3 linked regions of the Canis lupus familiaris genome follow. The protein of the gene in region 3 interacts with the protein of the main gene of each other region in a pairwise test. Links are inferred from orthologs where the notes say so. Each region holds a gene or a part of one and is shown on either strand. Other genes may lie near its edges.

Evidence for each region. The genes of interacting proteins can lie anywhere in the genome.
Region 1: the proteins of APPL1 (region 3) and FSHR interact in a two-hybrid assay, tested with the Homo sapiens proteins (2 studies listed by BioGRID). The link is inferred for Canis lupus familiaris from reciprocal best matches to the Homo sapiens genes APPL1 and FSHR.
Region 2: the proteins of APPL1 (region 3) and UBE2O interact in binary tests that used the Homo sapiens proteins (3 or more experiments, as listed by UniProt). The two-hybrid records come from large-scale screens. The link is inferred for Canis lupus familiaris from reciprocal best matches to the Homo sapiens genes APPL1 and UBE2O.

The regions. Positions count from the first base shown.
Region 1 is NC_049231.1:51,821,539-51,826,217, reverse strand, and holds part of FSHR (follicle-stimulating hormone receptor), read left to right. Parts: intron 1-1,732; coding exon 1,733-1,918; intron 1,919-4,679. UniProt on the Homo sapiens protein: G protein-coupled receptor for follitropin, the follicle-stimulating hormone. Through cAMP production activates the downstream PI3K-AKT and ERK1/ERK2 signaling pathways.
Region 2 is NC_049230.1:5,208,290-5,211,877, reverse strand, and holds part of UBE2O ((E3-independent) E2 ubiquitin-conjugating enzyme), read right to left. Parts: intron 3,473-3,588; coding exon 3,336-3,472; intron 1,559-3,335; coding exon 1,355-1,558; intron 1,259-1,354; coding exon 1,201-1,258; intron 1,051-1,200; coding exon 380-1,050; 3' UTR 1-379. UniProt on the Homo sapiens protein: E2/E3 hybrid ubiquitin-protein ligase that displays both E2 and E3 ligase activities and mediates monoubiquitination of target proteins. Negatively regulates TRAF6-mediated NF-kappa-B activation independently of its E2 activity.
Region 3 is NC_049241.1:33,414,412-33,419,569, forward strand, and holds the start of APPL1 (DCC-interacting protein 13-alpha), read right to left. Parts: upstream 3,657-5,158; 5' UTR 3,530-3,656; coding exon 3,476-3,529; intron 3,190-3,475; exon of another isoform or gene 3,107-3,189; intron 2,939-3,106; exon of another isoform or gene 2,759-2,938; intron 1-2,758. UniProt on the Homo sapiens protein: Multifunctional adapter protein that binds to various membrane receptors, nuclear factors and signaling proteins to regulate many processes, such as cell proliferation, immune response, endosomal trafficking and cell metabolism.

The DNA of each region.
Region 1 (4,679 bases), on a different chromosome or scaffold from region 3:
ATCACCTGAGAAAGTTATATACAGTCAGAAGTGACTTAAGGTTGGAGAAACTCCAATATTTAAAGGAAAGATAGAGGAGAAAGGATAACAAAATACAGGTCAAAGAAGATGTCAGAAAAAATTAAATAGAATGTGATGCCATGAAAAAGTCTCAAGGAAGAATGAATGTTTTACATGTAAACATAACTGAGAAATCGAGAAGCTTAGAATGAAGATAGGACCTTGGTGAGTATTTCTCTAGGGGTTGGGAAGAAATCAGATTGGATTATGAGAAAATAGCTGTCAGTAGCAGGTACTGGTGTCATTATCTTATGTTTAATTGGGAAATGGAGGTGACAAATAGAGAAGCAGTTAGGGGTGAGTTTCACTTGATCTTAGCCAAAAGGCCGAGAAGCGATAGGGGTGGGTTTCATTGGACAACAGGAAGTATTAAGGATTTTTGAGAAAGCAAATGAATGATGCAATGACAACAAGGTTTGGAGAATGTAATTTTCACCAGACTGTGAGAACATATGGCACAGCAAAAATATTTTCATACACCCAAGTTTCATTGCTCTAAGTACCCAATGCTTTGACTTATAGGAAATGCAGACATTAAAAGATTCTCCTTTGCCATGTATATCCAAGTGTCCTGAGATGAGCCCAACCTGGTCATCACTTGCTACCACCACCCCATCAGAAGCACTCCTTCACTAACCTGCTGGCCCCAACAGGTCTAAGCTGGTACCATTTAAAGCTCCTTCCTCCCACTGGCTAGTCTTGGTTGTTTTGGGAGTTACAGCTGCCAATCATGCTGCCAGAAAGTACCCAATGTCACTGGTGCAGTTGCCAGAAAGAATAGGACTTCAGAGCCCTCCACGGATATGGACCTGATTAAATTGTCCATTTTGGGGGGGCCCTTCATGTAGATCCCCTCTGCTTTGCTCAGTCAGAGACTCCTACAAAGCAAGAATAACTATGTACGAGAGACAGAGAAGTTTACTGAGAATTGCTGCCAGTCATTAAGTGCTGTCCATTGGCCAGGAAGTTTCTTGTGTACTTTTAAATCATTTAGTTGTCCCAACAGCCCTCTGGGGTAGCTACGATTATTACCATTCCTATTTTATGGCTGAGGAAATAGACACGGAGAAATGACAGTACTTTACCAAGGTCACAAATCTAATAGGTAGGGGAGCAGGGTACATACATGGGCTAGTCTGGCTGTCATTACCACCACTCTCTATCACCACTTTGACTTTGTACCGAGGGTGCCTCTACTGCCTACCAGATTCTTCTTCCCCTTATGGTGCTTTTCCTTCTTACTTTTCTAAAATTTGGCCACAGGTTCTACACCAGCTCATCACAAATATTTTTATAGCTGACTTTATGGTGGGGAGGAAATGGCTTTAATCTCTTGAGCCTATGTAAATTAGTGGATACCTATTTCAAGACAGACTATAGAAGGAGAGATGGCTAAAGTTAAGCCCCAGGTCAGGCAGGATGAGAGTATATCCAGGTATCTTGAGAGGCCTGTTATCTACATCCTCCTATGCAAACACAAAGGCCAGGCCTCCAGGAAACCAAATGTCCTCGTAGCTACATATTGATCTGGCTGAGGTATGTTGGATCAACTGGTATCTCCCTCCTCACCCATGTAAGAATATCACTACTGTGTCTGCCATTTTGCCTGCTAATCAAGCAGAAAATTTTAGGTCCATAATAATCAAGTTATATTTACATTTTATACTTCTAGAGACATTTCAAGAACCAGGATCCATTCCCTGCCTAGCTATGGCTTAGAAAATCTCAAGAAGTTCCGGGCCAGGTCAACATACAACTTGAAAAAGCTTCCCAGTCTGGAGAAGTTTGTCGCCCTCATGGAGGCCAGCCTCACCTACCCTAGCCATTGCTGCGCCTTTGCAAACTGGAGACGGCAAATGTGAGTCTTCCTATGTCCATCCCTTGAGCCCCACTTTGGCATTTTGGTGCGCAACTTCTATTTATCTGTGGCATGAAGTGAATCCACTTACAGAGACCTCCCTGATAAAAGCCTGTAGGCATATTCTAAATCGAAACTTCAGTATTGTGAAGGGTTTCCAATTTTCCTGAAATGGGCTCACAGCAGAGGGCTACCCACAATGGTAGATAATCTTTCAAATATTAAATGAGGCAACATGAAAAACACCAAGTATAGTGCCTGACTCATAGCTGATACTTAATGAGTATTTTTCCCTTTTTTCTTATGGATTTATTTTTCAAGTCCCACACTCTGCCACCTATACATGTTCCAGGGACCATACAAGTCAACTTTGGAGGAGAGAAGCATAAATGCCCTACCAGACACTGATGCGCACATACACAATACATCCCAACCCCTCCAAGACTCCTTAATCCATCTTTGGATCTTAGCACCTCACAGGGAGGACTCAGATTGGGACATCTGTTCACTTTGGCTTTCAAGGCTGGTCAAATTTGAAGAAGCCCAGAAAAGAGGGTAATCCAGACAGAGACAAAACCCAGGAGGCAACTGGTAAAAAAAAGATGATGTAATCAGAGAGGATCTGGAGAGAAAGTGGAGAGGGACTCTTTTGGAGATTGCATATAAATGTTTCAGACATTTAAAGGATCCAAGGCATGTAGAATGCACCGGGTAGGAGGAGTTCTCAAAGCCTGCACCCTCCCCTGAGCTCACTAACACAGTCCATACCACGCACTCACACTCAGATGATGCCTTGCCACACTCTTGTATAGCACCACAGCACTAATAGAGCTTCCCTGTGTCATTTCACTGTATGTTACAGTCTCCTCTATTGAACGACCTTCACACACATTCACCCGCCCATGTAGACTTAGCCCCTGCTCAAAAGCAAGATAAAAACAAAACAAAGAACAGTATATACCTAAAATGTTTTCAAAGTAACTAGAAGCCCACACTCACACCCATTCCAAAGATTTGCAGACAAGGGGCTACTTTTCAGAAATACCATGTATCAGTGAGAATCCAGAATCGGACACTTCTCACACATTAGCTCAAGGGCCCAGGAATTTCTTCCTGATGATTACAAGGTGGAAGGGCTTAGGCTGGGGAGCAAGGTTTGCCTCTTTTATATTCCAGACAAGTTATTCCAGCCAGGGCAAGAAAGATACCAATTTACCAAAGAAAACCCTGGAACTCAATGCCCTTCAGGACCAATCTCCGAGGTTGTCAAGATCATTGTAAGAACTGCATGTTATATGCTGCCTGGCCCAGTGCTAACACACTACAGGAATATGTTACCTACCTGCATTGCTCAGATTCCTCTGGTCTTGCCACCCCCCTGGTAACATAGAGGCAGCATCAGAGTTCCTCCTAACCAGAAATTTCCAGGTGTGTCTAACATTGTCCCATGACTTAAAGCCTTCCTTGATTGCCCCCAAACCACCTGGCTCTCATCCTTGCTAGGTCCCTATTGTAATTTACCATCAGGGCCTGTCTGGTACAGCAAAGGAGAGGTCTACCCCTTTCCTAGGAAGAGATGCCAAAACAGAGTAACAAAAATTGCAGTGAGCATTGAGTTTTTATATTTAACAAACTCACAAACACAAAATAGTTATGATATTCGTGAGATAACTACAAGATTTTTTTAACGATGTCATTTCATTATATACCCTAGTAGATGTGGTTTAGTAATGAGATTCAGGTTTAAAGTTGTATGATGCAATTGTTCTTCCAATCCTCATTTGGCAACAATGCCCAAGATGTAAATGTTAGGTCCTTGTGACTGTGAGGTTTTGGTCAACAGCCCTCCTGGACTTTCACCAAATGACCTTATTAACACACCTTATTTGTCCTTGAACCATATAGCTCTTTGTGAGAGTTCTACCCTCAACTTGTAATGTTATTTTGCTCATTTTGTGATGCTAGTTTTATTTAGGCCTTTCCTTCACAACTAGATTTTAAATTGGTGCACTGTGGCATATACATCTAAGTACCCACTCAGGGTCTGGACCCCAACATAAACTCAGTAAGTAACCACTGTCATCTTCTTGGTATTACTCATATTCACTGAATTCTCACTGCCTGGCTCCATGATATTTCCCAACTTTATCTCATATAATTCTCACAAAGGCAATAGTATTTTTATTCCCTTCTCACAGAAGCAAAAAGAGAGGCTCAGAGACAGTAATAACTTGACCAACACCAACCAAACTTAGATCCAAACCTTCTGCTTCATTTTCAAAGCCCAGCCTCTGGGCCATTCTACTACACACATCCTAAGAATCTGTTCATTGGTTTATCTGGGTTCAAGAATTCCCAACTCTTTATGATGCTTATTATTTGCTAAAGTATTGCAGAAGCAAGACTACTGTCCCTCACTTCTATTTTTGTTTCTATCCTTTTCTAAGAGACACACATTGTTTACCTCTTCTATATTCATGTGGTTGGGTCATTTCTGTTTCAGGAAAGGGAAGCATCAATATTTAAAATATGTTAGCAGCAAAAAAAAAAAAAAATATGTTAGCAGCATTATCAACATTAAGAATCTTCACAGAAGCCAACTAAGCCCCAGGAAGTGAAGCGGTCTCTAGATGATTAAGTCAGATCTAGTTTACTGAACGGAATTGTCATCTGTAGGCACCAGATTACTTACTTTCTATTCTTTCAATTGGGCTGCTACTAATCCAATGACAGGGTTCAGGAGTCACAAGTTAGATGAAGG
Region 2 (3,588 bases), on a different chromosome or scaffold from region 3:
CTGCTGGGCTGTGCGGGCCCACAGACAGCCCCCAAGGCAGGCCCTCGGAACCCCGCACCTCCGACCCAAGATGGGCACGGCCAGGAAGCAAGTGCCAGGACGCTCTGCCTGGGTGACAAGTGGAAAGACCAGCAGCAGGTTCCAGATTCTCTTTGCCACAGGGGACCGGCCTGTCAAAAGATTGCTTCGGGGAAGAAACGGCAGCATCTCAAGAAACTCCTTGCACTTCAGCATCAAACTCACCTTGGGGAGAGGGCAATGAGGGGCTTTTGCATCGGGGACAGAGGAGAAAACGGGAAGACGGGCGATTCCGGGGGAGGGAGTGAGCGGGCAGCAGCTGGCCTCTCCCCACGTGACATTCCTTCCTCCAGGGTGGCAGCTACTTGTCCTCCGCGCTCTCAGGCATGCCTGCCTCTAGCAGAGCGGCCCGGAACTGCGTCAGGACACCCCGGATGCTCTTGATGAAACCCTTAGAAAGTGGGAAGAGAGGGAAGCCGATGTCAGGGTAGCCACTCTTCTCAGGCAAGAAGCTCCGGTAGCTCTTTCTCCGCTTCTTTGGTTTGACACTGGGTGGCACCGGGGTGTCAGGCGCTGCCTCCGAAGTCTGGTCTGTGCGGTCCCTGCTAGCTGAGGCCGGGCCCTGGGCGCCGCCCTCCGAGTCTGAGCCCTGGGAGGCCTCGCCAGCGGCCAGCCCTCCGTCCTCAGGTTCTTCTCGGCCGTAGTCTGAGAGCTCGGCCACAGCAGGCGGCTCCGGGGAGCTGCTGTCCTTGGGGATCCCGTTGGGCAGCGCGTGGGCCCTCTCCAGCAAGGCGTGGGTTTCCAGCCAGGACTCGATGCGGCTCACCAGCCGCCAGCCGCCAGTACGGAAGTGCTGCCGGATTTCCTGCTCGAAGACTTCAGGGGGCCGCCGCACCAGCTGGGTCATGGACTGGACCACGCGGATGAGCGCCATCTCGTTGTAGCAACGACTGTTCTCGTACCCCTCCTGCAGGCCCCGGTCGCTGTCGAAGCCAGCTTCATTGTAGTAGGGTTCATTCACCAGGATCAGACCTGTGGGCGTTGGGGTGGGAAGCCCATGAGGGCTGGCCTGAGGACCCCTGGAGGGCAGCCAGAGCTACGGGTGGGAGCTGGAGACAGAGGCCTGTGTCTCCGCAACCCCCAGCAGCTCTCCCGACCACCAGCCCTCCCCCGACACCGTACCTTGGATGGAGATGAGCACCTGGAGAAGGCTGGATTTGCTCGTCCACCTCTCCGTCCCCTGAAACACATGTGCACACAGCATGATCGACTCTGTCCAGACACCCGCTCCCGACAGGCTGTCCTCCCACCCCGACGGTGCTGGCATTACACTCACCTTTCCAATCCAGGTGCCCAGGAGGCTGACACACACCTTCCCGTTGTCATACAGGTTGGGGTTCAGGCGGCCACTGCACTGGGAGAGGTAGCAAAAGTGGGGGGGCACGGCTGGGTAGATGTTGGGCAGCTGGATGTCAAACAAGTAGAGGCCATCCTCGTAGGGGGTGCGAGTGGGGCCCTTGATCAGGGCTGAGAAAAGGTCCTAGAGGGAGGGAAGGCTGAGGTCGGTGCGGGCTGCTGCACGCGGCACCTGTGTGGATCGGGGGGAGGAAGAACAGCGCCCTGGGATTCCAGATGCCACCAGCTACGGAGAAGCTAAATGGAACTATTTCTGTGCGGGCCTACACGGCATCTTTTAACTCCTGGTATAAATGGAATCATCCAAACTGTTTTTTTATCATTAAGTCATTACTTTGAAGATTCATTTCTTAAAACACCTGCCCTGACCCCCTCTGCCCTCAGGCCAACAACAATTACAACTAGTCAGAAGATGAAAGAACATTCCAAGGTGGCAAGGCTATACTTGCTTTTAGGGAACCAGAGGAACAGGGGATCTGGAACCCCAGTGGAAAAGCTGGCAGACCACCAAAGAAACTCGGGTCATTAAGTCATTAGGGAGACTGCCTCCAGACAGTTGAAATCTGTGTATCGGGGTGGGGGGTGGCATCCACTATTACAGCAACACACGTGACACTGGGTGATGTAAAAACAGCAAGGGCAGAGTACTGCCCGGTGCCACCCCGCAGGCCTTGAGATAATGCACTGCGCCATTTGTCCCTGCGAGTAAGCCCTGGAAAAAGTGCTGTTCTCTCCTCAGCAGAGCTGAGACAGGTTGGAATTTTCAAGTTTTACTAAAACTCAAGCAAAAGCAAAGATGTCACCAAGAACCCTGAGCAGCAGGGGCGGGGGGATGGGGTAACTGGGTGACGGGCATTAAGGAGGGCATGTGACGTAATGAGCACTGGGTGTTGTACACAACCGATGAATCACTGAACTCTGTCTCTGAAACGAGTAATACGCTATATATTGATTGAATTTAAATAAATATAAGAAAGAAAAAAAAAGAATGAATGAACCCTGAGTGGCACCGACCCTGTGGTGACCCCAGCCCCACCCCATGGTTTCCAGGCAGGTGCAAACAGCACCCCTGTTCTGTTCTCTGACCCTCTGGCCAGAGCTGGACTGCAGCTGCGGCCAGGTCAGACTCAAGTTCAGTGTCTCGCACCAGGCCCGGCACACAGCAGGGGCCCGGTGGAGGTGTTGAATAAATGAGGTGACAGATGGACCGGGCATGCCTGTGCCTGGAATGAGGACGCGCTCACACCGCCTCCGGTGGCATGACTCAAGCCTGGGCCCGGGCCATGGAGGGAGGAATGGAAAACGCAATGGGACATGGCCACGTGAGTGGATACTAATCTGTAGCTAAAAGAGAATGAACTAGATCAAGACGCATCAACATCAACAGGTCTCAAAAATCATCCCATTGAGACAAAAAAGCAAACTACGGATGATGTGTGCAATGACAGGCTACTCGTGTGGAACAGATCACACAAAATGTTTATGCTGACGTGTGAGAATGTGAAAATAGAAAATAAAAAAAGGTGGTCTTTTTTTTTCTTTTTAAAGATCTTCTGTAGGGAGACCCACAAAACTCCTAAAATTATGATGCCTAGGGGCTGGGTGAGGATTGGTCAAAGGCAACTTCAGCCTTCTCTGCAACGTTCTGATACTTTTAAAAGAACAACACTCAGGTAATAACTTGTAAAGAAGGGGGAAAAGAACACACCGTGTGGTCTAGACACGTGTGTGCCCCCCACGTGAAAGAGCCTGTCTCCTGCCCCATAAGGGGTGTGGGTGGCCTCTCAGGTGCTGCTCAGTCCTGGAGGTCCAGGAGCCCACAGCTGGCCGCCTCTGGGTGCCAAGCACCCACACAAGAACACCTGCACCTGCCCACGCCAAGCCCACGCCAGGCTACTTGCCATCCTATCTTCAAAAGTCTTGACCATGATGCCATCGGGCAGCGAGGTAGCCAGCAGTGCCATCTCCTTCCGTACTGTGCTGAAGAACTTCTTGGCTTCTGGAGGCTGGAACTCAATTTTCTTAAAAGAGTGATTTGCTAGAGGAGAGAAAAGAGGGGTCAATCCCTAATGACAGGACCCGAGAACTCTATCTGGAAGGACAGCTGCCACACGGGGGAAGTGGCCTAGAGGAAGCGCCCCACCAGGCGGGCGA
Region 3 (5,158 bases):
ACTCCTAACATTTCTTCAGAGGTCAATTCCTGTGAGTCACTTTTTGACAGAAGAATCATCAATATCCTTGTTTTCTCATCCAGTATTGTTCTGTGCCATGGGGGGTGACAAATGTTTCTTATAAGTGCTCCACTTTAGTCCCCAATATTTTCTTCCAAACCACCGATACCCACTCAACAAATGGTGATGGTGGTACTTGCTTCATTCCAGCAGGCGTCAAAGGAGTATTTTCAGACAACAAACAGGACTCAAGGTAATTCAAGTGGTTGTTAAACTGAGTTGGTCGAATGCTGAAAGGCTGCACTTGACCAGTCATACCACTAGGACAAACAACCATGAGCACACATTTGCAACCCAATCAAATAAAATATTATCAACTGTAAGGGGCACATATCTCACTATCAGACATGCTAAAATGTGGAAAAAAAGAAAACGTATGTTTCATAATCTGAGAACATTCCATATTACATCAAAGAAGGAAGTCCTCAGTTGGAACTAGTTTCATCTTCATAGTTCTAGCATTGTTCAATTACTGATATTTATCTACACATAAAATCAATTATTTTTAAAAGATCGTATCTGTTCTTAACTAGAAAGTTTCATTTTGCTCCAGATCTCCAAAACAATACTTAAGTATGAACAAGACATCTAGCGTAGCCTTAAAGATTTTCTGTTTCAATAAATAACATAAGCTTTTACAGAATGGGAGATAATTCTAAAGATGTTTATGTCCAATCAACTGGATTTGAACTTGCAAACTGCCATCTATTTTAATACCTAGTTACTATAAATCAAAACTAAAAATGGATAACCGCAACTTAGGATAGTCTTTCATGACCCCAGGCTCTACCTTTTTTTTCTCAGCACTGGCAGACCACTTCTGGTTAGGATCTAATGATCTAAATAAAAACTTCTCTATACCAGGAACTTTAAAAGTTTTCATACGCTTTGCTACTCAACTTCCTGGACTCTATCCTAAATAAATATTCCAAATGAGGACAAAAATTTATGCCCCAAAGCATTAACCTCAGTCCTATATGTAAAAACAAAACTTATGAAAAACTTTAAGTCCAACAGTAGGACAGCTGTTAAGTCACATGAAAAAACATGCAGCCTTTAAATTTTTTTATTCAGAATTTAATACGTGAACATGCTTAACACTACATTGTTAAGTTAAAGCAGATTAAAAATTGTTATGCACAATATAACTTCAATTACATTAAAATATATAAAAGCAAATGAGGAAACACAGTTAACAGGGTTTGCTGCTGGGTGCAGGACAGGTAACTGTTTCCTGTACCTTCCAATTTTTCTTTCTTTCATGACTATGTCTTTTATAATCAGGTACAAAAATAAAAACATTCACTATAACAGCTAAGATTTTGAGAAGTTGAGTGACTTGCCCTAAAGTGAAGTCACAGTGAAGACTAAAACCCTTATATCCTGAATCCCAGAATCTAGGGCTTTCCATCGTACCATAAGTTTTCCCTAAGTATTACTTCCAGGCATCTTCCCTTTTTTTTTTTTTTTTTAATTTAAAATATTTTATTTATTTATTCATGAGAGACACACAGAGAGAGACAGAGGGATAAGTAGGCTCCATGCAATAAGCCAGATGCAGGACTCAAATCCCGGCACTCCGGGATCTGCCCTGAGCCAAAGGCAGACACTCAACCACTGAACCACCCACCTGTCCCACGTCTTCCCTTTCTAAATCCCATTTATCCTAATTTTCCAAAGTACCTAGTTCAAGTTATCACTTAAAGAAACTGAAAGAGTATCAAGGCAGCTATTTCATTAAAAAATTACTATAAAACTGATACTAATATGGCACATACTTAATTTAAAAAAAAAAGAATGCTCAATTTGTAAACTGTGTGAAAAGTTCGAGAAATTAGATGAGTCACATTTTATCCTCCTCACAAGTCGTGGCAAGGGCACCCATTGTGGCCTGCGTGTAAGATTTATGGGCTATAAAAACCAGGCCAGGTAAGAAAAGGTACAGCAACCTGTTGAGCCTTACATAATAAAAGATGACAAAGTGCACCTGACCAACTCGTACCACAAAACCTTTACAAAACATCTGAAACAAATACATCTCCTAACTTTATACTTCAGATATCAATAAGAATTTGAACTAGCAAAAAAAAAAAAAAAAAAAAAAAAGAATTTGAACTAGCTATTCTGGCAGTCAAGATAAACCAAGATGCGGGTTTCTCTCTGTGTCAGTTTAGGCTGATAAGAGTACATTACCAGCAAACAACTGGCCTGTGAAGATAACTTTCGGCATGGGGAAAAAAAAAAAATCAATTCCACAATCAGAGCCCGACTTCCACTTGGCAATTAAAATTGGCACAAAGTCACAGCAGACGTGTCACACAGGCCAGGGGGACCTAGCCCCTACTTCCTCATCTTTTGGGGCCATATTAAACCGTCAAGACACGCGTGAAATGTATGCAATGGTAGTTCTGAATGCGCACCATTTCAGAGGTGGCCAACCAGCAACACGGTCCTAAATCGCTTAAATCACTTGTGTAGGAGACAGGCTTTGAGGATGAGGTCTCCCGATGCAAGTTACAGCGCCCTACCAACATGTAATTTTAAATGTAATTCATCTCGTTCTTCAATATCGAACACGTTAACAAATTGCTAGGTTTCCCTGGACCGTCTCGGGGCTCCAGCAACCGCATTAGCATTACCCCTCCCACCCGCTCCCGAGCACAAAACACGGGGCTTTTATTTTGATGAGTTTATTAAGGGCCAAGTCTGCACCGTTCCGCGCAGCAGTTGGTCGTGCCGCCGCGAAGGCGCCGTCCGTCCGTCACCGGCCGTGCACAGCTCGAGTGACAGCGGCCACAGCCGCGGCCACGACGCGGGACACAGTCCGCGGGGAGGCTCCGAGGCACAGGACGGGCTTCGCCGAGGACTCTCCAGGCGGGTAAATCAGCAGCGTTCCTGCAACTCCGGAGGGAACACTATCCATTTCCTTCCCCAAGGGCTTGCTCAGGGGTCGTGGGATAAGTCTACGGGGGGTGAGGGGGTGAGGGGGTGAGGGGGTGCTGTTTTATTTTTTTATTTTTTTCCTCCTTCTGCATTTCCTCCGAAGAGATCCCAGGATTGGAATTTACGACCTTAGATGACGGCGATGAAAACGCACCTTTCGTCAAATACGAGGGAGCCCCCGCGAACGTACGTGACCGCCGGGCCCACGAGCGCGGGCGGCGGAGCTTCGGCCGCCGCCCGCCGACGTCCCAGACCTCGCGGGTGGCTCTCTCGGCCCAGCGGCGCAGGCCCACGCGGGCCTCGGGCTGGCGGCCGGGCCGCGGCGACCCGGGGCGCGGCCCGCGACGGGCGGGGGCACTGGACGGCGGCGCCCACCTGGGCCGGGGCGGGCACCTGCGGCCGCCGCGGCGCCAGGCCTGGGGTCGGCCCGCCCTGCTCTTTCCCTCGCCTCCCGCCGCCGCCCGCGCCTCACCTGCGGGCTGTCCTCCAGCGTCTCCTCGATGGGCAGCTTGTCGATTCCCGGCATCGTGGCGGAGGGAGGGCGGCGGCAGGAGGAGACACGGCAGCCGCCCACAGCTCGCCGCGCCCGCCCGCCTGCAGCAGCTGACCCCGACCCGCCCTCTCTCGCAGGCGCGGCCGCCGTCGCCGCCCGCGCCGCTCTCGCCAGGCGCCGAGCGGCCGCGCGGGAAATCCCGCCCCCTCGGCCGCCCTGCCCCGCCTCCCGGCGCGCCCATTGGCTCGCAGCGACGCCCGTCAGCGCGGCGGGGCTAGCCCGGAGGTTCCTTCGCGGCTCTGGGTGCTGTGGTGAGCGGCGGCCTCGCGGGTGGCGCTGACTGCTCGCTGCGACCGTCCGCCCTGCGCGCGCCTGTTGATGCAAATTGTGGGGGACCGTCTCTCGCCTTTCAGCGAACCAGAGCCTCGTCTGAGGACCACCACCCCGGGGAGTTTGGGGTGTCTTTACTCCTCCTGCAACATTTCATCAGAGACCACGGAAGAGGCCCTACTGCCGGGGGCCTTTCTTGCTCCAGTTACAACCTTCGCAACCCTGCCCGCAGCGTCCAGTCTGCTCCCCACCCCCACCCTCCCGGCGACAGGGTGCTGGCCCGCTCAGCCGGCTGTGGGATCCCAAGCTGGGTCACTAGCAGGCTTCCCAGTAAATGTATGGACGGTAGACCCGCAGTTATTTTTCTGGGCACTTGGATATCAGTATATTCAGTTAAAAACATGAGACTTTATTATCGATTCATCGATTCTTACCTGGCCTGGAAGGGCTACGGTGCCTCAATTCAGACTTCAGTAGTTGTTATAAATCACAAACAAAAACATCTTTTTTTTAAATTATTTTTTAAATCGATTTTTTTTAAATTTTATTCATCCATTCATGAAAGACACACACAGAGAGAGAGAGAGAGACAGATTGGCAGAGACACAGGCAGAGGGAGAAGCAGGCCCCATCCTGGGTCTCCAGGATCACGCCCTGGGCCGAAGGCAGGCGCTAAAGCGCTGAGCCACCCGGGCTGCCCAGAAAACATCTTTTAAAGTTTAGCACACACTGGTTAATTATGTGGGTAGCTGACAGGCATATCTGTTAGATCAAAAAGTTGTGGAAGAAGTTTTCAATAGCTTCTTCAGCCTCTAATTTTACAGTAAAGAAGAGTGAAGCTCTGATTCCAACACCTGGTCTGGGTTAGAATTCCTGGTTCTTTGTCCTTCTTCCCCAACCTCACAACTGCCTCATGCATTTCTCTGTAGAGTCACAAGAAGTTTTCATCAGTATGCAAAGAAAATGGCAAAATCATAAGTGTCTTGTAAAATTCTAGCCGTTAGGAACACCTGGCTGGCTCTGTTCCTAAAGCATGCAATTCCCAATATCAGGGCTGTGGGTTTGAGTCCCACATTGGGTGTAGAGATTTAAAAAAAAAAAAAAAAAGTCCAAAATCTTCAAAATAAATAAAACTCTAGCCATTAATCCAATCAATCCATTCCATAAGAAATGCTGAGTAAAAGGACGCCTGGGTGGCTCAGCGGTTGAGCGTCTGCCTTCAGCTGAGGACGTGATCCCAGAGTTCCCGATCAAGTCCCACATCAGGCTCCTGCGTGGAGGCTGCTTCTCCTCCCTCTGCCTGGGTCTCTGTGTCTCTCATGAATAAATAAA